Regions from separate parts of the Mus musculus genome. Here regions 1, 3 and 4 are each reported to be linked to region 2. Evidence: microRNA targets listed by miRTarBase, many of them from high-throughput screens and not tested one by one. Region 2 holds a microRNA gene; each other region holds the end of a gene's coding sequence.
The links. The annotated mature microRNA mmu-miR-741-3p reads UGAGAGAUGCCAUUCUAUGUAGA and lies in region 2 at 3,872-3,894, opposite strand. An mRNA with a match to its seed (bases 2 to 7 or 8) in the 3' UTR can be bound and repressed. Matches are read on the target gene's strand: a 7mer-m8 pairs with bases 2 to 8, a 7mer-A1 pairs with bases 2 to 7 and ends in A, and an 8mer does both.

Region 1: the mRNA of Dnajc1 is a reported target of mmu-miR-741-3p. Seed matches in the 3' UTR shown: 7mer-A1 at 3,175-3,181.
Region 3: the mRNA of Pla2g4f is a reported target of mmu-miR-741-3p. Seed matches in the 3' UTR shown: 7mer-m8 at 1,478-1,484.
Region 4: miRTarBase lists Rasgrp1 as a target of mmu-miR-741-3p. Seed matches in the 3' UTR shown: 7mer-A1 at 1,481-1,487.

Annotation. Positions count from the first base shown.
Region 1 is chr2:18,211,548-18,218,671 of GRCm38, reverse strand. Dnajc1 (DnaJ heat shock protein family (Hsp40) member C1) reads left to right here. Exons shown (of 12, transcript NM_007869.3): 12 at 1,347-4,923. The coding sequence ends at 1,415. Mllt10 (myeloid/lymphoid or mixed-lineage leukemia; translocated to, 10) reads right to left here. Exons shown (of 23, transcript NM_001252560.1): 23 at 6,282-7,124. Among named protein-coding and RNA genes, the nearest start is that of Gm39761, 19 kb to the right of the region's middle.
Region 2 is chrX:66,792,938-66,800,061 of GRCm38, forward strand. It overlaps Mir741 (microRNA 741), which reads right to left and starts at 3,938; the gene lies at 3,868-3,938. Mir463 (microRNA 463) reads right to left here and starts at 6,360; the gene lies at 6,286-6,360.
Region 3 is chr2:120,294,632-120,301,755 of GRCm38, reverse strand. Pla2g4f (phospholipase A2, group IVF) reads left to right here. Exons shown (of 20, transcript NM_001363073.1): 19 at 673-859; 20 at 1,128-1,790. The coding sequence ends at 1,351. Among named protein-coding and RNA genes, the nearest start is that of Pla2g4d, 9.1 kb to the right of the region's middle.
Region 4 is chr2:117,276,002-117,283,125 of GRCm38, reverse strand. Rasgrp1 (RAS guanyl releasing protein 1) reads left to right here. Exons shown (of 17, transcript NM_011246.3): 17 at 450-3,143. The coding sequence ends at 584. Among named protein-coding and RNA genes, the nearest start is that of Fam98b, 30 kb to the right of the region's middle.

The DNA.
Region 1 (7,124 bases), not on the chromosome of region 2:
CCACCACTGTGATTTGTACTGGGAGGCTTGGAGCTCCTGGGTAAGGTTTCCAGGCCAGCCGTCCTCCCCAGTGCTCCCTGAAGGCTGTGTTCCAAGTGTGAGGCACCCGGAGCACACAGAAATCAAAAGCAGCCTCTGGGCACATTGAATTCCTTAATTGAAATTCTATGTTGGAAAGCCTAGCTTGTGGCCATGCATATCCCTGAGTGCACAGGTCTACCTACTTTACGTTGATGAAACTGAGTTTCTGGAGAGAAAAATAAGCCATTAGCAATTAATCTCTTTAAGCACAAATTCTTCCAATCTCTACAGCTGGTTTGCCGAAAGTAATTATTTCACTGAGTTTCTCTAACTTCTGTCAGACTCAGCCATTTACATGTGTAATAAATTGAATTTTGCTCAAAATTAAAGCAGCAGAGAGGAGCAGAACCTTCTTGTTTGCCCCAGAGAGGAGCAGGGCTTCCATGGCCCACAAGTATCCCTTAGCTTTGACTGCAACCTAACCCCACAGGCGCGGGAGGGATGCCCACTGACCATCTGGTGTCAGCTGCCTTGGAGGGAGCTCAGGTTCTGTCAGGAGACACTGCCTCCTGCCTGCTCAGCCTTCAGCACTACCCACACTGTCCTGTTGAGGGCTGAATGCTGAGTGGCCATGGCTGTTTCTGTGCTAATACTTTGAAGGCATGGGTGGGTGATGGTGGAATGTAGGGAGGCACTCACCACAAGATGCTCATCCTACACTGATGCACCCATCCTGTCCCGGGTACCTGATTAAGGACACTGTTTAGCACAGCAGTCATTTGCCCTGGACCCTGAACTAACATGCTTACAGTACCATAGGGTTGGTATCATCTAGACAGGAAGAGAATAGATTCTAAAATATATATCATGCCCACCTGAAAATAGCGGCCACTTCCTTCCATCTTCTCCACCTTTCCCACTCCATGAGGTACCGTCCATGCTAGTTCTGTGCTGCATAGGAAGGTCCCAGCAGCCACCAGGGAGAAGCACGAGCAAAGCATGAGAGCATTGTAGCCCCAGGTTTCTTGGATTCTCTGGACTGGGATGTGATGAGAGGGAGTTCCCATGGTAGAAGGGTTAGCAAGCTGAGTGGGGACGCCACACTGCACTCCATAGGCAACCCTCAGCTATTCCTGCAGCAGATCTTCTCTGACCAGGTCTGCCTGGGACCAACTAGGCTTTCCCAGAAGATTGTAAAGGAAATGAACACAGGCTTCTTCATTAGGACTGGGCAGTAACTCGCAGAGAGGTCACAGCGAGCTGACAGCACCAGGAGCACTGACCCAAGAAAGAACTGTCACCACCTCTTTCTTTATTTCCCACAGGAAGACTGCATTGCTAGATACAAGCTGCTGGTTGAACTGGTCCAAAAGAAAAAGCAGGCTAAAAGCTGAATCTTCTGGAAGGTGACGATCAATGACCATCATTTTCCAAACAAGTACTCGAGAAATCTCATGCAGAAACTTATATTTTGTACCTCAGTATTTCTAAACATCATGTGCCTTAGTAAAAAAAAGAAAGGAAGAAAGAAAGAAAGAAAAAGAGAGGGGGGGGAGAAAGAAAGAAAAAAAGAAAGAAAGAATGAATCAATTATAGATGCTGTAAGGTGCCATTTACAGGCCTTCCTTGTGTTTCCAGGGGAGAGTGTGGTGCCAAAAATATGAGGTCCTCTGTTGGCCAGCGAAGGAGGGAAAAACAGGTGCACCAGGTGGAATTTGAGATAAAGCAAATAAGTTTGATTGTCAAATGAGAAATTTAAGCCTGGAAGGTGGTTCAGTGGATAAAACCGCTGACTGCTAAGCCTGCCAGTCTGCACTCACTCTCCAGCAAGCACATGTTCACAGGAGCTGTCCTCTGACCTCTGCATTCATATTGTGGTACAGCACACACATCCGAGCCCACATAGACACATGCACATGAATACATGGATCTAAAATTTTTAAAGAATTTCTTGCTTTTGTTTGAAACTTGAAAACGCTTTGGGCTTGTTCTTCAGTTTTGTTGTGTTTTGGAGAGAATGCTTTGCTTTTGTGTATGTCTGTGTACCAGAAGACGACATTGGATCCCATAGATCTGTTGTATGGATGGCTGTAAGTCACCATGTATGTAGGTGATGGAAATTGAACTTCAGTCCAGCCCCTTGTTTGAAACTTTAGAAGGAAACTTCAAACTGCTGCCAAGCAAGAGATGTGCTCCACTGGCTACAGTGTGCTGTTTGTGGTCATGCCCAGTTCTACACAATGACACCTCAGTACCCAGTATGTTACTGTTAGCAGGTAAGGCCTCTCAGTGTGATGAGCTGTTGCCAAAACTCAATGTCTGCCCCTTCGCCTAAGGTCTCAAAGACAAACCAACAACTCCAAAGTCCATGCAGGCTAACCTTATATAGTTTATATAGGGTTACTTACAGTGGATGAGGGCTTATGGGTTGGAGCAGAGGTGACCTTAAAGCAGCCACACTGGAAGGTCTGCAGCCGGAAGGGATGGTGTCTTCCCAAGGCTTCATTGAGGGAGCCAGCTTCCCTAATCCTTCCTACCTACAGAGTCTAACACCTTCCAGAGACCCTAAAGCACATGCAATTAGAACAGAATTGCATACAGCTGGATAGTGGGGGTTGCCTGGCTACTCACATAACTGTTCCATGACTCCCTCCCCAACCCCTCCTTTCCAAGATGTGAGTCCAAGTCTGTCAAGCAGACCCAGCTGGCCTCCTGAAGGTGGTGGCAATTTGACCTATTATCATGGGCATAACCACACACAAAGTCCCTAGGAAGCCAATGGTCTTCTTCCTCTCATTGAAGAACAGGCCTGGCAAAGATGCACTCTGGCTTCAGCCTCCAACTTCCAGCAGAGCTGCTTCTGCTTTTAGCCACTATGCATGTTGTTAAAGAGTGGTTTTCTAGAGAGGCCCTGTCCCGTAAGTACCTGTGGACTGTCGTTAAGGGTGTCAGACATGGCCTCCCACTTACTACTTACTTTTCAGCTCGTTATCCGTTTCCTGAACCTCTCCTCACATCCAACTTGCTCGCATCACTGTCCACCCAAGTACTGCACCCATAGCATTTTCTGATCCTGAAAATCAGTATGAGTCCTCTTTTGATCACATTCTTTCATGGGAATAGAAGTAAATGCCCCACATTCTGGGACGGAACTCTCTCAACTAGTAGAGTACTTCCCAGCATTCATGAAGCCCTGAGAGTCTATCCCCAGCACCCTATAAACCTGGGTGTGGTGCTGCATGGCTGTCCTCCCAGAACTCAAACCGTGGGAGAATCAGGTCACCTTTAGATACAGAGTGAGTTCCAGGCCAGCCATGCTGTGGTGGTCTTCATGAGATGTCTCCCGTAAGTTGCTAGCATTTGAATACCTGGCTTTGTTCCAAAAGCCATTTCAAAGTCAGCTTTGCTGCTTGTGGCTCCTGTAGGCCACTCATCCCATGAACTGCTACTGCCACCTCCATCTAGCCACCAGGGACTCATACTCTGGAACCATAGGCCCCAGATAAACCCTTTTATAAGTTGCTTTGGTCATGGTGTTTTGTAACAGCAACAGACAAGCAACTAATACAAGGGGGAGGGGGAGCAGGAGAAGAGGGGGAGAGAGAACAAGCGGTGTATTCAAAGTTGCCACTGATTGGTACTGAGCAGAGCCACTGGGGGTCAGTATCCCTAAGGGACCCGAACTTGCTTTTCTATGCCAGAACATGTCCACGTGTTCCCCTGAATTCTTCACATCAGCCCCAATCCCCAGTCCTAACATGGGTCCTATCTTTGCTACCTCTTGTCCCTCTGTACTATGACATCTTACTTCTGTTCTGTGATCATGCTATGTGATACTGGTGCAGTGAGCCAAGCAACACATAGGGCTTCCACCTCCTAGTCTTCCCCAAACAGCCAAGACTGTTTAAAGGCCAAGTATTTAAATGCTAGAGACTTATGGGAGACAGCTCACTGAGGCCACAGCATGGCTGGTCTGGAGCTCACTCTGTAGCTAAAGATGACCAGATCCTCCTATGGTTTGAGTTCTGGGATGACAGCTATTCAGCACCACACCCAGGTTTTCACCTATCCTGGGGCCTGGGAAGGGCATGGGCAGGTGAGGGGCCCTGAAGAACAGGGTAGCTGGTTTGCTGTAGTGGAAAGGGTCTCAACCCCAACAAATCTCAAGTTCCACACTGGCTCTATCCAGGAAACTATCCCAGACAGCACTACAAAAAAAAGTCAACAGGTATTACCTGCCTCAGATAATTACTGTGCAATGCTTACATGGCCTTGTGTGACTAAACCATTGCCTCACTAATCTGTGAAACAGGGAAAACAGAGTCTGGCTATGTCAAGTCTAGAGGAAGCTTGCTCTTGTGGCAGCAACCAAGGAAAGAAAAGCAATACATGCTTGCCAGGAGTCACCATGTCTTACAGAGCAGTTTTGAGGAAATCAGATGAGTCAGGTTGTGTGGCCCAGCCCAGAAAACCCCCTTCAGGCCACTTCATGCTATTCCAAGTTTGCAGCACGAAGAAGGCTGGTGAGAAGTAACTGGATAACAAATCTCCTGGGGCCCTCGATCTAGAAAACAGCATGTCTGGCTCTGCCTCTCTTTCCCTCACTGCTGTCCCCATCAGCCAGCCCTGGGGCCCATGCTTTGCCTCTTGCCCTGTGCAGCTGCTGACAGCAGCTTAGCTGCACACATGTTCAAAGCTCTTTTCTGCTCTCCTATCAGACTCCAGTGTTGTACAGGTCCCACCCTCCGGCTCCCCAACAACCCCTTGCTTTGCCAGACAGGTCGACATGGTGGAAGCTGCAAAGGTTCACCAGGAACTTAAGGAACTATATAAAGTTCAGCTCCTAAAATCTAAACTCTTTCATATGTGCCACTTTAATAAAGTAACAAAAGTAGGTCAAAACTCTGTGTATGTATAATATTTTAACTATAGGAATGTAATGGAAAATGTTTTACATGGGATATGTGTGTGTGTGTATAGCATAAAGACTGGGGAGAATAAAAAAGAGGGCTTCCTCTTTGGTGATAGGGCGCTAGGTGTCCTTCACTTTGCTGCTAACATTGAGAAAGGCTGGACATAGCTCAGTGGTAAAGTAGTAGCTAACCCCTCCAAGGCCCAGGATCCTAGTTCCAGTGTTACAGAAATGTTTCCTTTTAAAGGCTTGCTTTAATTTGGACAGAAAGAGGGTTAACAGGGGTGGCTGGTTCGTTTTCTGATACTGATTTCTGAGACTGGTTTACAGGTTGACCTTGAATTTGAATAACCTTGAATTCCTGAACCTCCTTGCTCTACCTCCCAAGTGCAGAGATTACAGGTATAAGCCACCATACCCAACTGTAGCACTCTCCTGTGGGTTTGATCAGAACTATGAACCACACAGCAACAGCAAAGGGGCGCTCATCCTAAGCCCTCTGCTCCTAGTCCCGAACCTGTCCACAGAGCTGAGGGTTGTCCCTTCCTTTGTTTTGTTGGAGCAACAACTTGATGAAACAGATCTCAGCATAAGAAGTACTGGAACTGTGGGCCGGAGACCAGCCCCTTTGCTGTTTGGGATGCAGGTGTCATCAACACATCTGGCCAACAGAAAAAACTTTCTAAAGTTCATTTCTTTGTCTCTTCCTACAAACCTAATTCAATCTGTAATAAAGCTGGGGACTTAGGGCTGGAGATGAAGCTCAACCAGAGACTCATTGCAGGGAGCCCTAGGTGACAGCACAAACCTGACATCCTACTGCCCAAGCTTTAACAGGAAGTTCAAGGGCAGCCTTAGCTACCTACGTCGAGTCCAAGGCTATCCAGGATACATGGCCCCTATCAAAACAAAATACAGTTAGGAGCCAAGGGTTAGGTTTTTTTCCATGTTCACTCAACTCTTAATTACCAAGAAGAAATACCATGCATCTCTGTACTCTGGGGTAAAAACTATGGTGAATCTGTGATCCAAGGATCACTGAACACATAAGTATTTGTGTTTTAGAGAATGCCTCTCATTTACTCTAAATATGTGAACAATAGAATTTAGTTTTTAATCAAGTGTGCTATGAACAAATCCTCCTATAGAGCCAGTTCCCTTCTTACTGTGGACACCACCCACGCTGCTCAGTAATCACTGCCATCTCTGGACACAGCTGGGTGGCTCCATGCTCTCCTGCACAGCCCACCCCTGAGAAATCGGACAGCTACAAGACAAGCTCCCCACGGAACTGCGCACAAGAGCTCAGGACAGCCGCGTTTCCAACAAAGAAGGCAGGGCACAGAGCTATAAACATCATTAAATTTTATTAACAAAAACTTTGTACATTTTAATACATGTGGAATTTTACATCTAAGTAAAATAACAGCACATTCAAAAATTTACCATTTATACAAATTGTTACAGAATAACAACCAGTGGGTTACATATATAAAATAAACCACACTGATTCTTTTAAATTATCTACAAAAGGTTTGACTTTCTTTAAAATTCCCCTGAACATATAAAAATAAATTAATTTTACTTTTCAATTAAATCTACCAATTAGAAATATTACAAATCAAAATATCAATGTTATCTTATGAATTTTTCACATTACAAAACAGATTCACAACCTTATTTACAGAAGTGAGGTAAGAGGTGTGCAGTGTCACAGAAGACAGACTGCTAAGCCGTGCACATGGTCTTCCAGCTAAGCACACAGTGGAGGTCGAACTGCAGTTGGGCCTTTCCCACCAGTAATTCATGTGTTTCAGAAACAGACCAATGATTATATCCCCAACTGTCTAACCTACTAGGCTGCCATATTGTCACAATCAAGAGCATGGCTACTCGGGGCATGGCTAAGTCGGAAGGCTGTGGGACAGGTTTTAGGAACTGTGGTGGTGTGCCTGTTCCAGTGGGTGGTTTGAGGCTGATGAGATAAGCAAGCATGTAGACTCTTCCCAGGTCTACTTGTTTCCTTGTGGACAGTCAGTTTGCCTGAGCTCTCTCTGGTGGCACAGAAAGGTTCAACAGAGACAGAAGCACGGGGAAGCTGCTGGCACAAGTGGCCTGCCCGGCAGTACAGAGCCCTTTCTATCCAGGGAGGTCCCAACAGGCAATTTGATGCTAGAACCTTGCAGCAGTT
Region 2 (7,124 bases):
TAACCCACAAATTAAAAATAAAGATTATGTCATGAACACATCTTAAATATGTCTGCTATGACAGTGACTACAGAGCATTCTATCATAAAGTAACATACTGTTGGTTTGTGTACATGTACACCACAAAGTCTACATGGTACGCCTGCAAAATTGTATTTGGAGCATGCTAGACATGGAAGAGTGACTTCTGAATAATGCAGAATATAGGACTTGTAGAATGAAGTGTTGCACTTACGATGTGACCATTATAAAATTAAGGCCTACCTGGGAATACACTTTCTGGAGGCACTTATTTCCAACATGTCTCAGAAAGGCATGTGAAGGATAACTGCTGTTACATATTCTAACCAATATGAAGAACATTATGAACTTTACTTTAACCACCATGGTGGTTTTCATAGTCATTCACTTGATAAACACCAAGGTGAATAAAATACAGCCCATAAGAAACTTAACTTCATCTTGAGCTTTCAACATATATGTTCAAGTATAGGGGACTTGCAACATGACCTAACATATTCACAAGTCTTAGTGAATATAGTAGACAATACCTTTTACCATACATGTTCAAAGGGATCCCTCTCACATTCATTTTGTGTCAACAAACCGCTTTGAGTAAGCTTGTTGCCATTTTCTTTTTCAGATTATGGAGTCACTGAAAGTTCTTTCTGTTTTTATTCTTTAAGTTTTTATTTAAAAATTTGTTTTCAAAGAATATACTTTAAGCATGTTAGTCATTTCCAACTCATTCCACAACTTTTTATGTAAAGAAAGCATTTCTCAGATAATTTCCATAATCCCCAAAGACATGTATGAAGACATGTATGAATTCTCCCATAGTAACATGATATAATACTAGTAAATTTCTTTAATATTCTCAGGAAAGGAAATTATACTACCTTTTCCCTTTTCCCTTCTTCTACATGGTTTTATTTAGATCCCATGTAGGAGGAGCTCATTCTTTTGTGCTTCTTCATCTATGTACATTTGCAAGGTAAATTGACAATACAAAATATATCAAGTAACCCTAACTCACCTACTAATATAAAAGTGACCTCAATGTTACTTGAAGTGAAAAGTCACTGCTATTTAAGACTATAAATCAAGTGAGAAACATGATGAATTTTAATAACCCAGAGAGAACCTAGTCAAATGTAGTCCCAGTATTCAGCATGAGACTAACTCCAAAATGTTATTTAACCAATTTTAGCAATAACTTAGCAAAAGCTTCATTATCCCTCTCAAATTTTATCAAATTGCCAATTTACGACAATACCTAAACTATTAAGAGTTATGAAGATCATGCTATCCAAACTGTTTAATTTCTCTTTGCATTTCTCAAAAATGAGAGCTGACGCTTTTCTTAAAGGGAATAAGGATTGCCAAAGAAGAGAATAAGATTTGTACCATATTTTCTTGTATGAACAAGTTCTCTCATGTCCTCTATTTCTTTTTATTCCTCTAATGGAAAAGTATTCATGCTAGGGTAATACTGAGTGATAGAGCATCTCTCATAAAGTATCTGACTAAGCACTCTTAGGACCAAAGCACCTGAGTTTAGGGGTAATGTACCTACAATGACATCACCAAAAAGTTGTATCTACAAACTGCAGTGGGGGAGGCTTACATTAACTCAGAGACACAGAAACAAGGAGAAAAAATAAACTTGTACATTTAAATTTTTATTTTCAGTATCTTAAATGTATACATTTTTCATTACTTAGCAATTTCTGTGACATCTATCACATCATCTATCATCTATCACAGCACAATACCTGAAAATCCATGTATTTTTTATAACTCTGAAGTGATGCCAAATTCTTAACCTCTGAGTCATCTCTCCACCCCAGTGGCAGCCTAGAGAATAAGAAAAGATTTTTACAAACTGCATTATCTGACAGAAGACTAATATGCAAGATATATAAGGAATTTAAAATTACATATAAAAATCCAATTAAAAATAGGGTATAGGTCTAAACAGAAAATTCACAATAACAGAAACTCAAATGAATGAGAAACACCAAAATAAATAAATGTGCAAAATCTTTAGCCATCAGGAAAATTCAAATAAAAACTACTTTGATATTCCATTTTACACCTGTCAAAATGGCTAAATATCAACATGTGACAACGTGATAGAGAAGATGTGGGGCAAAGGAAACACTCCTCCATTGCTAATGGGACTGCAAACTTGTACATCAAAAATAGAAAATATGGTGGTTCCTCAGAAAGTTGGGAACTGATATATCTTAAGATCCAGCTATACTTCTTTTGGGCATATACCTAAAGGATCTTCATCCTACCACAAGGACAAATGCTTAACCCTGCTCATTGCCGATCTATTCATAATAGCCAAAAATTGAAAACAATCCAATTTTTTAAGTGTCCCTCAAACTGAATAAAAAGCCTGTGGTACATTTAAACAATGACGTATTACCTGTTAAGAATGACATCATGAGACTTGCTGGGAAATAGATGGAGCTAGAAAAATAATCATCCTATGAGAGTTTTAAAAAGACCCAGATAGAAACATATGGTAAGCATTTACTTCTACGTGGATATTAGCCAGTGAATAATGATAACCAAACTATAACCTCTTTAGCCAGAGGGGTTACATATAGCAGAGGGAATAGTTTGTAACAATTAATGAAAAAGGACACTGTAAATTTGGAAAGAGCAAGAAGGAATATGGAAAGTTTGTAGGGAAGAACAGGATATAATTATATAATAATCTCACAAAGTAAAAAAAAAAAAAATAAAACCAACAACTTTTTCTATTCTATCACTTTTATCTAGGTAGGATGCTATTGGAGGCACTGTCTGTTATTTAGGGTGGCTCTTCTCATTTGAAATAATCTGACCCTGTTGCCTGTGGCTCATCTATTAGCTGATTCCAAAAAATCAGTCAAGCTGAGAGCAATAGTTAGTCATTATACCATTACTACCTAGAGGTGATCAAACTCATTTGGTTTCTTGAGCCATAACCCCTAGACAAATAAATAAATGTATGCAGTATGTATGTATGTATGTATGTATGTATGTATGTATGTATGTATGTATGCATGCATGTAAAACTAATCTGCAAACACTTAAGCAATGCTGAGTGGAAAAAGTAGCTTTTCACAGGGATAAGCCAGCAAATTAGTTATTTAATACCAAGTAGTCTACCATATTATATACATACTCACATATTTATGTGCACACGTGTACACACACACACACACACACACACACACACAGAGAGAGAGAGAGAGAGAGAGAGAGAGAGAGAGAGAGAGAGAGAGAAAGGGGGCCATATGGGAGAGTGGAGGGTGGGAAGGAAAGTGAGTCAGAATTATATTTTAATTCAAAAACTTAAAATTTCAAAAGAGAAAATACAAATGCTAATATTCTTAATGTCTATTGTGAGAATTCGAGTAGCAGCAAACCTCAAAGTTCACTAAAGAGCATCTAAAATGAACATAAACATCATTATATGCGACATACAGGATGAAACTTACAGTACATGTAGAATGAAACTGTTCTCATTTAAATCAAGTCACCATCAGCATCACAGCATAAAGCAGCAAACAAGAAGCTTATAAAGAATCTTCTTATTATGCCTGGATGCCATGCCCTCTTGCTTATCTGAAAGTCTGATAAAACAAATATAAGACTATATTCATTTTATTTTTTCAGATTAAGAATAAAATTATCAATGTCCATATTTGTATTAACATATCTAAATGTGTTCTGAAGGTTTAAATTAAGTCCTCCTTAGAGGATATAGTTTCTGAAGGCACAAGATCTTAACAAAGATCGGGAAGCATTATACTTAACACTGCAATGATCTTCCAAGGCCACAAAAAAAGAAGAATGTTATGAGCCTTAATCTACATAGAATGGCATCTCTCATGCTTACATGATTTACATGATAGGTACCAATCTACGTAGATCAATGCACATGAGACATTTTATATACTTCTGATAGAAAGCTAGTCTGTCACCTTCAATTAGAAATCATAACTCCACAATTCTTGCATTCTTACCTCATTTAGTAGTAAATCTTAGAGAATACCTACCAATTCTACTATATCATGATTTTCTTTCACATAGTATCATCTTATGTCACCATTTCTATAAATAGTTTTCACTACAGCTAATATTCAGTTTTTTTATTCAAATTAATACATCCAGCACGTTTTACTTACTAAAAATGTTTTTCCCTTACAATATATTCTGATCATGCTTTCACCTATTCTCAGATCTGCCCTACCACCTCACTCATCAACCCCAAACATCTTTCCCTTGATTTAAAAAAAATGAACTAGCAATAACACAAAACTCATCAAAATGAAAGTTAAAGAAAAAGCAAAAATCAGAGAAACAGTTACCATTACAACTATGCATGAAACATATATTTATTATTTCTAAATACTAAGGATAGTAAAACATACTTTTACCTTGTCAATCTTGCAACCTAGCCTATATCATATTCTTTTTTTTTTCCTATATCATATTCTAACACCATGGTGGGAAAGACATGCGTACATAAATTACCTAATTTTTATTTACTTATTTATTTATTTTATTTATTTCCTAACTTAATACCCTCCATTCATATAGTCTCAAAATTATTTGTGAACCAAATGATAGTAAAATATTATCATATAAAAGAATAATATTTCCTACAAGATCAAATGGCCATCTAAAATCCCAGAAGCCCCAAAACTTTAAGTTTTGGAATACCATTTTCATATTCACGAAGCCACAATAAATGAGTAAAGTTTTCTTCCACTTAGAGGTAAACACACATTTATTTCTGTTAATTGGAAAATTATATTCTACTTATAAATACTATAAAACTAGATTAACTTAAGGTTAAAAATAAACCAAAAATGTGAAGTCCCGCTTAAAACTCTTAATTATCACTCAAAATTTATCAATTCACCCTACAGCATAAAATATAAACCTTAATTGTATTTATATGTCCTTATGAAATAATTCTATAGTATTCTTTCCCACATATTTCCATCTAGTTATTATGAGCAGTTATTTGCACGAATGGCTGTCAAAATTGAGATTAAACCAGGAAAAGCTCATGATTCCTCAATCCTACACAAAGAACTATACACAACTAGAAAAGCCAGTATTGGGAGATGTCTCCTAACTCCCAGCACTCATGGAAGAACATTCCATTTGGTTGTCTAGTGCAAAACATTCATCCTGAAAACATACAAACAAGTAACACTATACAGACTTAGCAGAATATATTTAGGAATAAATAGCTATATAAAAATACATCAATACATTCAGTAACAATTATTGACAAACATCATCAATTTGAGGGAGAGCAGGGAGGGAAATATGAAAGTGTTTGGAGGGAAAAATAAGAGGTATAAATATTATAATTAAATTATAATTTAAAAATATACTGAACTAAATCTGTAATTTAAAAACATGTAATGATTGTTGTATCTGAATGTTTATAAATCTTGATGTGTCTGCAAGGTTAACATTAAAGAATAAATGCCACATGAAACTCAAGAAGAATGACACATGAAACTCAAGAAGAATGAAGACTGAAGTGTGGACACTATGCCCCTCCTTAGAATTGGGAACAAAACACCCATGGAAGGAGTTACAGAGACAAAGTTTGGAGCTGAGATGAAAGGATGGACCATGTAGAGACTGCCATATCCAGGGATCCACCCCATAATCAGCATCCAAACGCTGACACCATTGCATACACTAGCAAGATTTTATTGAAAGGACCCAGATGTAGCTGTCTCTTGTGAGACTATGCCAGGGCCTAGCAAACACAGAAGTGGATGCTCACAGTCAGCTAATGGATGGATCACAGGGCTCCCAATGGAGGAGCTAGAGAAAGTACCCAAGGAGCTAAAGGGATCTGCAACCCTATAGGTGGAACAACATTATGAACTAACCAGTACCCCGGAGCTCTTGACTCTAGCTGCATATGTATCAAAAGATGGCCTAGTCAGCCATCACTGGAAAGAGAGGCCCATTGGACTTGCAAACTTTATATGCCCCAGTACAGGGGAACGCCAGGGCCAAAAAGGGGGAGTGGGTGGGTAGGGGAGTGGGGATGGGTGGGTATGGGGGACTTTTGGTATAGCATTGGAAATGTAAATGAGCTAAATACCTAATAAAAAATGGGAAAAAAAAGAATAAATGCACCTTACTAAACTTTGGTCCTTTAGATACAAATGCCAAATTAAGGCCAGCAAGCTCTAACAAGGGTTAATGCTTCTATACCACAATGATGTTCCAGGTGATGAACATAGTGAACCTTCCTCTACCTTATATGGTGTCTATCATCATTTATGTTTTACATGATGGACAACAAATTAGGTAAAGCAGGGTACATCATACCTTTAATATAAAAATGTTGCAAATGTAGCTTCCATGATCCTCTTTATCTTTTAGCAAAGTACCAATTGTACATTGTTGCTAAAACTTGACATACTTTGTGTATAATATATATACATATATGTACACACACACACACAATCTACAAATTGTCACCAAAAATTCCTCCAAGAGAATATCCTCTGATGTGTCTTCTGTTTCAATTAATGGTATTCTCTACCAAGACAATACGGGGGACTGTAATTTCACTTATATAAGTTAGAATTTCTCGTTGAAGTTATTTTTCTTCCTCCTGTAACATGCAAGTATTAAAATAATTATTAGATTTGTGTGTTCAGCAAGGAATAACTACAGAACCCATAAAAATAGAAAAAGGCCACTGGGTAGAGAGTTGTGAGAAAAGCTTACTAAAAGGGTAACAAAACACAGGTGGTATGGAAGAGGAAAGGAGACTAATGGGGGGGGGCATTGTTTAACTGTGGAGCAAGGTAAGATTCTAGGATAAGTGAGGGAGTAGGGAAGAAATGAGTATCACAACTCTGTTTTAAATATCCATATAAGAACAATATATGGTAGATACAGTGACCTGTAGTTTGCGTAGATGATTGCCAACACTGTATCTGTAAAATTAAATTCATTTTATTAATTCATATGAAGAATAAACTAAATGTTTTGCACTTTTATGCTTACATACTTGTATATATTCATAAGGTGAGTACACAAATGAAATCTTCATTAAATATTGCCTTACC
Region 3 (7,124 bases), not on the chromosome of region 2:
CTCCTCCAACCCTGCCCTTGTAACCAAGCCCCTTAACAGGGAACGAGGAGGCGTTGGAGAAGGGACGGCCATATTAGGGGCAGGAATGAAAGACTAGCTTGATGGTTGGCTTTTGCTAATTATTGCTAATTCACTATGCTCTCACTAGACACTTACTTCCAACTGTCTTAGTTAGGGTTTCTATTGCTGTGAAGAGACCGTGACCACAGCAGCTCTTCTAAAGAGAAACATCTAACTGGGGCTGGCTTACAGTTTTAGAGCTTTAGTCCGTCATTCTCATGGCAGGAAGCATAGCGGCCTGCTAACTGGGGCTGGCTTACAGTTTTAGAGCTTTAGTCCGTCATTCTCATGGCAGGAAGCATAGCGGCCTGCAGGCAGACACAGTGCTGGAGAGGTAGCTGAGAATTCTATATCCGGATCTGCAGGCTGCAAGCAGGAAGAGAATGAGATACACTTCCTCCAACAAGGCCACACCCACTCCAACAAGGCCACACCTCCTAATAGTGCCACACCCTATTGGCCTGTGAAGGCCATTTTTATTCACACCACCATACCACCTTTATTTGGCAAATAGAAAGGTGTCTCAGAAAGTCACTCGGCTATACAGAGCTAGTATGAAGCCTGAGTGTGCCGCAGTCCAGTTGGGGATCATAAGCTTACCTCTCTGTCCAGGTCCTGCAGGTGACAGAGAAGTACTGCCGGGACCGAGGGATCCCCTTCCCAAGGATTGAGGTGGACCCCAAGGACTCTGAAGACCCCCGTGAATGCTATCTGTTTGCTGAGGCAGAGGACCCCTGCTCGCCCATCGTGCTGCATTTCCCTCTTGTCAACAGGACCTTTCGCACGCACCTGGCCCCAGGTAAGGGGAAGTCACAAGCCTGCTCTAGCCTCCAGGGGAAGATGGGATGCTAGTCTGAGAGCATTGCCTGGAGGCCTGGACTAATCTCCGCTGCCTGGACCTCTGTGTCCACAATGAGCCATCTCTTTCTAATGGGCCTGAGAGTTAAGATGGCCTCTCTGAGGGAGCAAGCCAGATCACCTGTGCAGGAAAGTGTCCAGGGCTATCAGCTAGCCCCCAGTCAGTTTCACAGAGTACTCCAGCCTAGTCTTGCTTTTCCCACTCCCAGGTGTGGAACGACAAACAGCTGAGGAGAAGGCCTTCGGGGACTTTATCATCAACGGGCCAGATACTGCCTATGGCATGATGGATTTCACCTACGAGCCCAAGGAATTTGATCGGCTGGTGACCCTGAGCCGATACAACGTCTTGAACAACAAGGAGACTATCAGGCATGCCCTCCAGCTGGCTCTGGACCGGCGGCGGCAGGCTGGGGGAAGGGTTGGGGGCTGATCACATGAGAGTCAGAGGACTGTGGTGGTGTGATGGAGGACCTTAAGTCAGAGTATGCTGAGGGAGAGGGAAGACTTTAAACACTTTCTGTTTTCCACTTCTCCTTCCCAGAGAAGATGGGGCAGTATCTCTCTCTCTCTCTCTGAGTGCTTGGGGGTCCTGTGCAGGAGAGAACAGAGTTCATATTATATTGGGGTGTAGAGAGCCAGGCAGCAGCTTCATCAGAAGGCGCACCCCCACCCCCACCACAGAAGGACCTCTGGAAAGAACCCAAGCATTCAGAGCTTCACCACAGAGCTGTGGGCTGAGGAACCAGCTGTCCTTACACTGATGCAGAACTACAGCTGCTCACACTTCCACAGAGTGGCCCAGCTCTGACCCACTCCAAACCCCCGGACTCAGTGATGTGGAGAATAAACAGCAGCTATGTGGGTCGCCAGCCTGTGTCACTGAGCCTGTGTTCTGGTTCTTCTCTCCATCCTAGCCCCTCCGCCCTCCTCAGAGGTCATCAGGCTTCCATACTGAGGCTCATGAGATTTGTACCAAGATGACCCATCCTGATGGCTGGGCACATTGCTTTACCCAAACCACGTTTTCTGCTTCATATATACAGCTGCCACACTGTGCAAATGTTGTCTTCCCGTTCTCAGGAGACAAGTGGGTAATTTAGATGGGGCTGGGTAAATGGACAATTGCATACATTGTATATGTGGGTATATATTCCCATCTATGGTGGGCCAGTTAGTACCTATTCCTTCACATGGGATGAGCCAATAAAGTGGGGGTGGATCTAGCCTGGATTCCTGCATCTGATGATCTACATAGATCCCTCTCTTTCCCATCTCTCCTGATCCACTTGGGACCTTCCAAATATTGAGAATAAGTAGAATTCCAAACTGTAAAGAGGAGATCCATCCTGGTCAGGCTGTTTCCTGCTGGGGACAGCATACCATGACATGGATGGCATCTGGGACCCTGAGAAACAGGAGACACATCCCTCCAGGAGACCCACCATCAGAAATAAGGAACTGCTCACAGCAGGCCTGGATGGAGACATCCTAGAAGCCTGCGACAGCTTATTTATAAAAAAGTGTTCCCATTTCTCCTGACCCTTAGCCCTGGACAAGGGCTGCATAGATCTCACTTGTGTGTGAGTGCTTTTTAGTTGGCATTGGGGTGCATAATTATTCTATTATACTTGACTTTCCTATTTCTTTCTCCATCTGCTCTGGTGAATTCTATGAAACTAGATGTTTCTTGATGTAATGATTCTTAAATAATTAAAAACTGAGGCATGGGGCACAGCACAGCCATTCCTAGTGGCCCAGGTGCATGCTGTGTGCTCTCATCTTGGAAACAATGTAGTAACTGCACAATGGTAGCTCCAGATTAATGCTTGATTTGCAAAGAAAGTTTGAAGAAATTATGTTTAGAAATTAAGAAAGTGAAGTAGAGCCACACACTATAGAGTCATACAGGGTCCATTACCAGAAAGTGAAAGAATTTACTGGAACCATGAAAATCATTAGTATAAGAGACACACTAGCCAGGCAGTGGTGGTGCACGCCTTTAATTCCAGCACTTGGGAGGCAGAGGCAGGTGGATTTCTGAGCTCAAGGCCAGCCTGGTCTACAGAGTGAGTTCCAGGACAGCCAGGGCTACACAGAGAAACCCTGTCTCGGAAACAAACAAACAAACAAACAAAAAAGACACAATCATGGGATAAATGGAATAAGAAAACACAAACACAGTGTCTTACGTAGTGTTTTACTGCTGTGAACAGACACCATGACCAAGGCAAGTCTTATAAAAACCAACATTTAATTGGGGCTGGCTTACAGGTTCAGAGGTTCAGTCCATTATCATCAAGGTGGGAGCATGGCAGTATCCAGGCAGGCATGGCACAGGAGGAGCTGAGAGTTCTATGTCTTCATCCAAAGGCTGCCAGTGGAAGACTGACTTCCAGGCAACTAGGGTGAGGATCTTATACCCACACCCACAGTGACACACCCCTTCCAACCAGGTCACACCTATTCCAACAAGGCCACACCTCCAGATGGTGCCACTCCCTGGTCCAAGGATATACAAACCATCACACACAGGATACTTTAATTCAGAAAGGGAGAAGCTATTGAAGTTATGAAATGAGTTTTGCACACATTTGAGAGTGGTTCCTCATCTCCTTTGGATATGCATGGATATGCAAGTAAAGATTAGACTCCTGAAAGAAGATATAGAATGCATAAAATTCTATTCTAGTAGAACTAAGTTAAAACACTGGGACTCTTAGGAGAGTCATTGTGTGCAATGTGCAGAGGCAGAAGCTAGCAGAACTGCCAAGTAAAGGGTTAACTTGACTCTTTCTGGCCACTGCCTGGCACCTTTGCCCATGTCATTTTTCATTAGAGCTTCACAGGAAACCGTATGTAGCTGACCTCAGAGCTCGGAGCTCTGAAGAAAAGTAAGTCAAAAGTTAAAGTTTAAATGATAAGTTTGCAATTATTATTTCCACAGGCCTGGGAATAGGGGAAAATTGAAACTTTGTGGAACAACCGTAATTCTTAATTCTTTGTGAGATGTGGTCATTCTTTTGAATTTTGGTTTGGTAATGATTATACAGTGTGTGTCTTTTTTTCTACCTGCTTTATGGAGTAACAATAAAAGACTGGGACAAGTTAAAAGGGAGGGAGAGTGCGTGTGTGTGAGTGAGTGAAAGAGAACGCATGTGAGGTGTGTGTGGTGTGATGTGAGGTGCTTGTGAGGTGGTGTGAGGTATGTGTGAGGTGGTGTGAGGTGCATGTGAGGTGTGTGTGAGGTGGTGTGAGGTGCATGTGAGGTGTGTGTGAGGTGGTGTGAGGTGTATGTGAGGTGGTGTGAGGTGGTGTGAAGTGTATGTGAGGTGGTGTGAGGTGCATGTGAGGTGGTGTGAGGTGTGTGAGGTGGTATGAGGTGTGTGTGAGGTAGTATAAGGTGTATGTGAGGTGGTGTGAGGTGTATGTGAGTTGGTGTGTAGTATGTGTGAAGTGGTGTGAGGTGCATGTGAGGTGTGTGTAAGGTGGTGTGAGTTGGTGTGAGGAGTGTTTGAGGTGTGTGTAAGGTGGTGTAAGGTGGTGTGAGGTGTGTTTGAGGTGTGTGTGAGGTGGTATGAAGTGTGTGTGGTAGTATGGGAGTGCAAGAAAGGGAGTGAAAGAGAGAGCACACCCTCTAGCCTGAGGAGGAAGCAAAAGTGTGCAACCTCAGATAAATAGATAGATAGATAGATAGATAGATAGATAGATAGATAGATAGATAGATAGATAGAGTGCAACCTCAGGCCTTGAAATTTGTCTGTCAGCTCGTACCCGAAAAGTTGTCTGAATGTTTTCATACGAGCCCTCCAGATATCCCTGCTTCCAGTTGAGAATCCAGATGCTGTGTTGAGGCTGGACCCCGGTAGTTTCCCTCTGATTTGTCTCCTTAGCCTCATCTTCCTCGACCAGCTGTGCTCTGGTGCTAAGCCACCTGTTGCTGTGTAGTAGCTGAGTTTCTGTACTCAGTGGATCCCTCGCTCACACATGTGCACATCCAAGTATACACGAGTGCTCCAAGACCAAATTTACAGCTCAATTCCTGTTTCAGTTGGGATGCCCCTTCTCTGGGAGTGCCACCTGCCTTAACTTTGGAGAGAAGGCCCTAGTTCTATTGCCTGTGAGGTGGTGTGAGGTGTGTGTGAGGTGCATGTGAGGTGTGTGTGAGGTGGTGTGAGGTGCATGTGAGGTGTGTGTGAGGTGCATGTGAGGTGATGTGAGGTGCATGTGAGGTGTGTGTGAGGTGGTGAGGTGGTGTGAGGTGGTGTGAGGTGGTGTGATGTGTGTGTGAGGTGGTGTGAGGTGTGTGTGAGGTGTATAATAGTCAAAGTTCCATCTGTGCCCTGTGTCCTGTGTGTCCTGGGGCTCAAGCTTCCTGCTGATGTGAAAGTAAAGCAGGGACAGGGACCTTTCTTTGGACTGACATGCAGTAACCAGCTTGGCTCCTCCCCCTCTTCTCACTATTGCTGCCGGTCTCTGGCCACTCCTTGGCTTCAGTAAAGGGAAGTTTATTTGGAAGGTCCTGCTGTGGCCATTGTCACCACTGCTTGCCTGCTGTTGTCAATGACAATGTTTATTGAACTCTCATAACCGTTGGCACTTACCACTCATAGGGTGCACAGCTAGAATCTTTATTCTGTCTTCAAGGCTTAGGGAGTCAAGTAGGACTCTGGCTCCAGTTGGAAGGGAGGGGCTTTTGTCTGCTGAGGCAGGCACTGAGAGAAAGGATCCTTGGCCACTCTATCCTTTTTCTCAAAGTAGGGTCTGCACTCTGGATTCCCTGGGAGCTGAGGCAACGCAGATGGCCAGGTCTGCTTCAGGCCACGTTCCTTTTCCCAACATCCCAACTTTGTGCCCCCATGGGACTCTAAGAAGGCTTTCACAATAAAGCTGGGGACAATTTTGTCTGGGTTTCATCTGGCACTGGGTTATCTGATCAGCTTTTTCTGCCTCCCTGAGCCTCTACTACTTTATCTTCCTCTCTTTTCCTTGGTTCCTTAGAAACTTCACTCCATTTCCTGGGAGCGTCTCAGGGGCCATAAAAAACGCATTCTTTCAGGGTTGGAGAGATGGCTCGGTGGTTAAGAGCACTAACTGCTCTTCAGAGGGCCTGAGTTCCCAGCAACTACATAGTGGCTCACAACCATCTGTAATGGGATCTGAGGCCCTCTTCTGGTGTGTCTGAAGACAGCAACAATGTATTCATATACATAAAATAAGTAACTCTTTAAAAACAAACAAAAACCCCCACCTCATTCTTTCCCATCAAACAACGTCCCTACTTCTTCATTTATTTGGTTTCAAATATAACTTTTTTCCCCCAAGGTGTTGTGGTTGTTTTGAGACAGGATTTCTCCGAATAGCCCTGGCTATTCTAGATCTCACTTTGTAGACCAAGCTGGCCTCAAACTCATAGAGATCCACCTGCCTCTGCCTCCTTAGTGCCGGGATTACATGCCCAGTTACAAATCATCTTTTTGAGTGATTTCAAAGACAGCTCTGTTGTGAAGCATAACCCTTCTGTTCTCTATGCTTTTTATGTCCCACCTGAGCACATGTGGAGACCAGAGAATGACTTTCAGGGCTCGGTTCTTTAGTTCACCATGTGGGTTCCAGGGTAAGCTCGGGTCTTCCGGCTTAGTGGCAAGCACCTTTATCCACTGAGCTACCGCACCAGCCCAGAATCCAGTTCTAAGGATTTCGTAAATCTGTTTTCCCAGATAGCAACCCTAATTAGCCCCAAATAAAAGGAGTATTCTCTCTCTCTCTCTCTCCTCTCTCTCTCTCTCTCTCTCTCTCTCTCTCTCTCTCTCTCTCTCTCTCTCTCTCTCTCTCTCTCTCTCTCTCTCTCTCTCCTCATCCTAATTGATACCCTTTTCAGGGCTTGAGTGGAGTGACAGTCTAGAATGTTCCCGAGTTCTTCCGGAACGCTTTAGCTCTTGTTCATAACAAACTATTGGAGGGAGACTGGCCTAGACACCTGGGATGGCCCTGAGACACACTCCTATTTTATAAGCTTAAAGCTCACACCCCTGCTATACTGAGTCCAAACTAAAGTAATGGCTGAGGAATGCTTGCTTGAACTTTTCCATGGCTCTTTTCTGCGAAATTCCAGAGGCTCTGATCTGGATTAAACATCTCTCCAGCCCTCTGTGGCCTGCAGGGTAGCACTCCGGATTCCTGAACAGCAGCAGGGACTGGACAGT
Region 4 (7,124 bases), not on the chromosome of region 2:
CCATCAAAAAGGAGTATGAGTTATCAGTAACAGGGGGTTATGAACTTAGGTTACATCAACTGTAACATCTCACTTCACAGAGCTTTGAAGCACTGCTTTCATAGTTCAGAACAGACCAGACCAGACTACTTTCTGTCAAGTTACGATGCCTGCGTCACACTACCCAAAAGTTGTGGCTTCCTCCACCCAATGCCCAAGAATGGATTGTTCTGTCCTGCTAGCCACTCACATCTGAGATCTGATAACAAAGAGTAATTGCTATTTGTGCATGCCCATGATAGTTAATGTGTTCTTTTATACTCACAGCTAAATAACTGCTTTGAAAATAGTTTATAATTCTTAACCACAGGGAACAGGAGATGCCAATCAAATATAATGCTCTTGATACTGTCACTAATTTCCTATTCACTGCTGCTCTATTACCACACCTTATTCTCATTTCCTTTTAGGAAATAAATACCCTGAAAGCAGATAACGATGCTCTGAAGATCCAACTGAAGTACGCACAGAAGAAAATAGAATCCCTGCAGCTTGGGAAAAGCAATCATGTCTTAGCCCAGATGGACCACGGTGATAGTGCTTAATCCAGAATTTCAAGGACCAGAATCTGCAGGAGGGTATACTGGGATCTCACTTCAAAACTCATTGCAGACGTTCAGCACCTTTAGATTGACTGACTTTAAAAGGGTAGAGCTGGCCACTACTGTTGACATCCTTGGTTTTTACCTAAACGGTTTTTAATGTGAGTCGTTGGTTTTCAGTCAGTTGAATCAAAGGGAAGAAAAGCTCAAGCATGCAAAGTCTGAGCATTCCTATTCTAACCTTCTTTCTTTACTGAAACCAATACCAAACATGCGCTAAAATAAGTCTAGAGTTTCCTGAGGGTGTCCCAGGCAGCCCGCTTTACTGATTCATACTTAGATAAAGAGTCCCTGGTGAATCCATTTGCTGCCTTCCGCAAACTGACTTACTTTGTTCTACCCAAACCCCGCTCATAACGGAAACAATAGCCTAAGCGTGGTGACTTTGACATGCCTGCATTGTTTGTGAAACTGATCCCTACAGTGTTCGCTACCTCAGACCTCATCAAGAGCCTCTTTCCCCACTGTCCTTCACTTGCCCGCCTCCTTCCTCCCTTGCTTATAGGCACATCAGCACATCTACCTAGAAGTGAACTCCTAGCGATGTAGCCTGGTTTTAAATCCAGAGCTTCTTAATTGAACTTGACATTGTCTAATTGCAGGCCAACTTATAGCTCTAGGTCTTAGTCATTATGAAATACAAAATAAAACTCACTCACTACCCACAAACAGCAATTACCATGGCATACACACAGCTAAATAGCTAAGTCAAACCACAATAACACGTTTATCCAGATAGTCTTTCTATAGTGGGTAGAATTAAGAATCTGTGACTTTTTAAAAGAAATGGTCTGTGAACAGTGTTTAATTCTTCATGTTCTAGTCTCTCTCTCTCTCTCTCTCTCAAGTAATCTATCATAAGGTTCTCTTTTGAACTGAATTTGTGCTTAAGTTGTCTTCACTTTTATTATCTACAAATAAGCTAATGGGTGTGACGGCTTTCATAGCTGGCAGTATTTACATGTGTGTAGAATGTATATATATAGTATCAGACATGCATGGAGCTTGGACCTTCTCCCTTAGAAAATGCAGACGTGAATCAAACACCTTTTAGTCACTTACACAAATTTGCAAGTATAGTTCTGCTCATTATAAGGCAAACTGCTAACAATGTAAATTGTTCTGCTTAACAAAACCGTGAGTAACAGTGTCCCAGTATTCTTTCGTGAAGGTTAAAATCAGTGGGTTTGTCTTGTTGCCTGTGAAGCAATTCACAAACTCTCTTGTCAGCTTCCTTTTAGCTTTCAAAAAACATCTCATCTGATTGTGTCCTTTTGAGGAGACTGTTTCCATGCTAGGAAGGTCTGGCACCACACTAACTTGTAATTTAATATGCAAGACAAGCAATTTAAGAGTCTCATCGAACTAAATAAGTTCCAAACCTAGCTGGGCAATGGGGACACATGCCTTTAATCCCAGCACTCGGTGGGTAGAGGCAGGCTGATCTCTGTGAGTTTGAGGCCAGCCTGGTCTACAGAATGAGTTCCAGGACAGCAAGGGATATGCTGAGAAACTCTGTCTGGAAAAATCAAAGGAAAAAGTGTTTAAAAGTTTCAACCCTACGACCAAGAGCATAAAGTCTACAGAGGAATATGAACTGTACATGGTGCTGCCCCCTAAAGGACTCAAATCATTTAAGATATTCCTTTGATGAAAGACCACTGCCTGTTTGCACACCTCTTTGGAGCATTTCAGTGACAAAGAGCTGGCTTGTGGTGAGTGTCTCTCTAAACTTTAATGAACTACTTTACACACAGTTATCCTTCTTCTACATCCCATCTCAGAAACGTGAAAAGCATAGCACCTGGTACTACGCCTCTGGCAGGTGTCTATATTATGTGGAAACTTTTATGGAGTGATAGGACTAATGGAAGACCTCAAAATTTGTATTTTCACTCTGTTATGCACTAGTACAAGTGTAGAGCTTGATTCTTTAGACAATGCCTTTTTCTTATTTCTCATCCCCAATAAAGATCTCCCAGTGAGATTTTGTGTAAATAATCTGTAATATAGGAATTCAGAGGGCCTCAGTCATTTATCACAGCTAGATGACCTTACAGACAGCAGAAAGGACAGGAAAGATAGTGGGAGACAGTAGTTTTCCTCACAAATTCTTACATTCCAGCCAAGACAAAGGATGTGTGAAGTCTGAGTTGGTACTGTTCCTGCAGAATGGTAGGAGCAGGTGGGATCTCCTGATACAATCTGGAACAAAGTTTGGCCTGTCACATGAGGTTTTGTTTACCAGGCTGTCTTGAAATGTCTGGGCAGATGGGTGTCTGCCAAAGCAAGGACTGATCCTGTCTGTGAACAGCAATGTCTCTGCTCTTCTTCTCTGTGGAGTGACTCACCCATTTACTGACCACTTGTGAAATTGTCTAAAGATGTATACTGTAAAAGCTTCGAAAGAACTGTACAAACTGTAAGATATTTTATACCTATTTTATGTTTTCTGTGTCTCATATTTATATCATAAAAACATTGGATCCCTATAACTTCAAAGTCGTGTGCTTCTTCACTTTATACATATGTAGGCATTTTGTTAAACTTTTTACTGGAATTCAAACCAAAAATGCTCCTCCAGTCTATTAAAAAGGGTTTTCTGGGGGGGGACCCCTAGCTTATTTGGGTTAAAATGTTCTTCCTTTTTTACAGGATGAGGAAGTAACAATGCAGATATGTCCACCTTATAATGACCTCTCTGAACATCAAGTCTGTCAAAGGCTCAACACCAATTAAAGGGGCCAAAGCTATCATCTCCTGTGGCTCTTATCTTAATGCCACAGTTCTAGCTAAGAAAACCAGTAAGGAAAGAAGACAAAGTAGACAGAAAGACGGTTCAGTCTCGTGTCCCGATCCACTCAGCAATTCATCTGTGGTCACTCTTTGGAGTGATCAGAGGCACCATTTGTTCTCCCTATCCAGATTTTGATGATGGGACCCATGCAGAGGAGGATGCCAGCCACTCACACATTGCACATTGTGGTACATTTGGGTTGGGGGATGGGGTGTATCTCCATAATTAATGTTATTTTAGGTGAAATAACGAAGTCATTCTGACAAGCTGACCCTGAACAGAAGGTGAAAGTGCTTCTTGCCCACCCTCATTCCCAGCTCACAGATCTCACCACAAGCTCTTCGTTACAGAGTGGATAAACCAGATATCACTCACTATGTGTTTTGGCTACAAAGCCTCACGGTTTGCCACAAGTCCTGGTAAATGAGAAACACCTAGTTCCCTCTGATGTCAGTTCATGGGGTTGGATGGTACTGAGCTCGCTCAGCCCAGGGGAAAAACTCAGTTGCTACTTTAATTTGGAAATTTCTAGTCCGATTTTGTCCACAGATGCTCATAGGTGGATAAAGACATAGAAAAGGGGGAAGACAGTAAGTATAAGAAAATAGGAGGAAAAAAACCCCATGAAATTAAAAATAGAATCAACATGCAAAAAGGTATCAGGCTTCAGGGAACTGTGAAATGCCATCCATCACAAATGTCCATGTGCCCTACCTAATCCATTTATAATGTTCTTGTGTGATGAACCATAAAAGCCCTAAGTCGCCCTACTGCCAGACCAGGCATCACATAGCAAGCAGTGTGCAAACACATTTTGAGCAAATCTTCTTGCTGCAATGAAGTTCACAGGCTGGGTATACAGAACTGGCTCCACTCCACTGTAATTCCAGAAGTGCTCAACTGGGGAAAGACTTTCCAGTAGTTGTTGGGGAAAACCCCAACAGCACTCATAAAAGGGACAAAACAAACAAACAAACACAAAGCTCAACAGAAATAAACTAATGTCACTGCCATATTTACATAAATCTTTAGGGCTGAACAGTTAAAAGAGCAGAGCAGATATTGTACTACAGGCCAATAATCCCAGCATTCAGGAGGCTGAGGCAGGACGATGCCAAGTTTGAGAGCCAAGTTTTAAGAACACCCTAGACTGCACGGCAAGAGCCTGTCATAAATAAAAGTAAAAAGTAGCTGTAAATTGTCCTTTACTGTTAGCAAGCAATGCTTATAAAATGGAAGAAATGCAAAATTTTTCAACAAACTTTTTTTGCCTACTATATAAATGTAACTTTTATTTCCACAGATAAAGGGATGAGATGAGAGTTGTACCCGAGCTGTACAAACGCTCAGCTTAGGCAGAGCCCAGAGCATTTTTTCCTCTGTTCTAACTATCCCTAGGCCTAAGCCTGGAAGCTTCTAGCCTCCTTACAATCTAATCCTCCAAGATGACTGATTCAAACTGGCTTTTCTTGGCTTCCAACTGAATTGCTGTGCTTGGCCTCAAACTAACTCTGACAATCTCTTTCTCTCATTCTCTGGCTCATTCGGCAACCTTTCTCTATAAAACTGTCCTGGTAAAACTACTTTTTGGAGTTTAATGAAAATGAAGCCACAACATACCCAAACTTATGGGACACAATGAAAGCATTTCTAAGAAGAAAACTCATAGCTCTGAGTGCCTCCAAAATTAAACTAGAGAGAGCATACATTAGCAGCTTGACAACACACCTAAAAGCTCTAGAACAAAAGGAAGCAAATTCACCCAAGAGGAGTAGACTGCAGGAAATAATCAAACTCAGGGGTGAAATCAACGAAGTGGAAACAAGAACTATTCAAAGAATCAACCAAAGGAGGAGTTGGTTCTTTGAGAAAATCAACAAGATTCCTTAGCCAGACATACTAGAGGGCACAGGAAAAGCATTCTAATTAACAAAATTAGAAATGAAAAGGGAGACATAACAACAGATCCTGAAGAAATCCAAAACACCATCAGATCCTTCTACAAAAGGCTATACTCAAAAAAAGTGGAGAACCTGGATGAAATGAACAAGTTTCTAGACAGATACCAGGTACCAAAGTTAAATCAAGATCAGGTTAATGATCTAAACAGTCCTATATCCCCTAAAGAAATAGAAGCAGTCATTAATGGTCTCCCAACCAAAAAAAGCCCAGGACCAGATGGGTTTAGTGCAGAGTTCTATCAGACCTTCAAAGAAGATCTAATCCCGGTTCTTCACAAACTATTCCACAAAATATAAACAGAAGGTACTCTACCCAACTCACTCTATGAAGCCACAATTACTCTGATACCTAAACCACAAAAAGACCCAACAAAGATAGAGAACTTCAGACCAATTTCCCTTATGAATATCGATGCAAAAATCTTCAATAAAGTTCTCGCTAACCGAATCCAAGAATCCATCAAAATAATCATCCATCCTGACGAAGTAGGTTTCATCCCAGGGATGCAGGGATGGTTTAATATACGGAAATCCATCAATGTAATCCAGTATATAAACAAACTCAAAGACAAAAACCACATGATCATCTCATTAGATGCTGAGAAAGCATTTGACAAAATCCAACACCCATTCATGATAAAAGTCTTGGAAAGATGAGGAATTCAAGGCCTATACCTAAACATGATAAAAGCAATCTACAGCAAACCAGTAGCCAACATCAAAGTAAATGGTGAGAAGCTGGAAGCAATCCCACTAAAATCAGGGACTAGACAAGGCTGCCCACTTTCTCCCTACCTATTCAACATAGTACTTGAAGTCCTAGCCAGAGCAATTCGACAACAAAAGGAGATCAAGGGGATACAAATTGGAAAAGAGGAAGTCAAAATATCACTTTTTGCAGATGATATGTTAGTATATATATATATATATATGTGTGTGTGTGTGTGTGTGTGTGTGTGTGTGTGTGTGACCCTAAAAATTCCACCAGAGAACTCCTAAACCTGATAAACAGCTTCGGTGAAGTAGCTGGATATAAAATTAACTCAAACAAGTCAATGGCCTTTCTCTACACAAAGAATAAACAGGCTGAGAAAGAAATTAGGGAAACAACACCCTTTTCAATAGTCACAAATAATATAAAATACCTTGGCGTGACTCTAAGGAAGTGAAAGATCTGTATGATAAGAACTTCAAGTCTCTGAAGAAAGAAATTATAGAAGATCTCAGAAGATGGAAAGAACTCCCATGCTCATGGATTGGCAGGATCAATATAGTAAAAATGGCTATCTTGCCAAAAGCAATCTACAGATTCAACGAAATCCCCATCAAAATTCCAATTCAATTCTTCAACGAATTAGAAAGGGCAATCTGCAAATTCATCTGGAATAACAAAAAACCTAGGATAGCAAAAACTCTTCTCAAGGATAAAAGAACCTCTGGTGGAATCACCATGCCTGACCTAAAGCTTTACTACAGAGCAATTGTGATAAAAACTGCATGGTACTGGAATAGGGACAGACAAGTAGACCAATGGAATAGAATTGAAGACCCAGAAATGAACCCACACACCTATGGTCACTTGATCTTTGACAAGGGAGCAAAAACAATCCAGTGGAAAAAAGACAGCATCTTCAACAAATGGTGCTGGCACAACTGGCAATTATCATGTAAAAGAATGCAAATTGATCCATTCCTAACTCCTTGTACTAAGGTCAAATCTAAGTG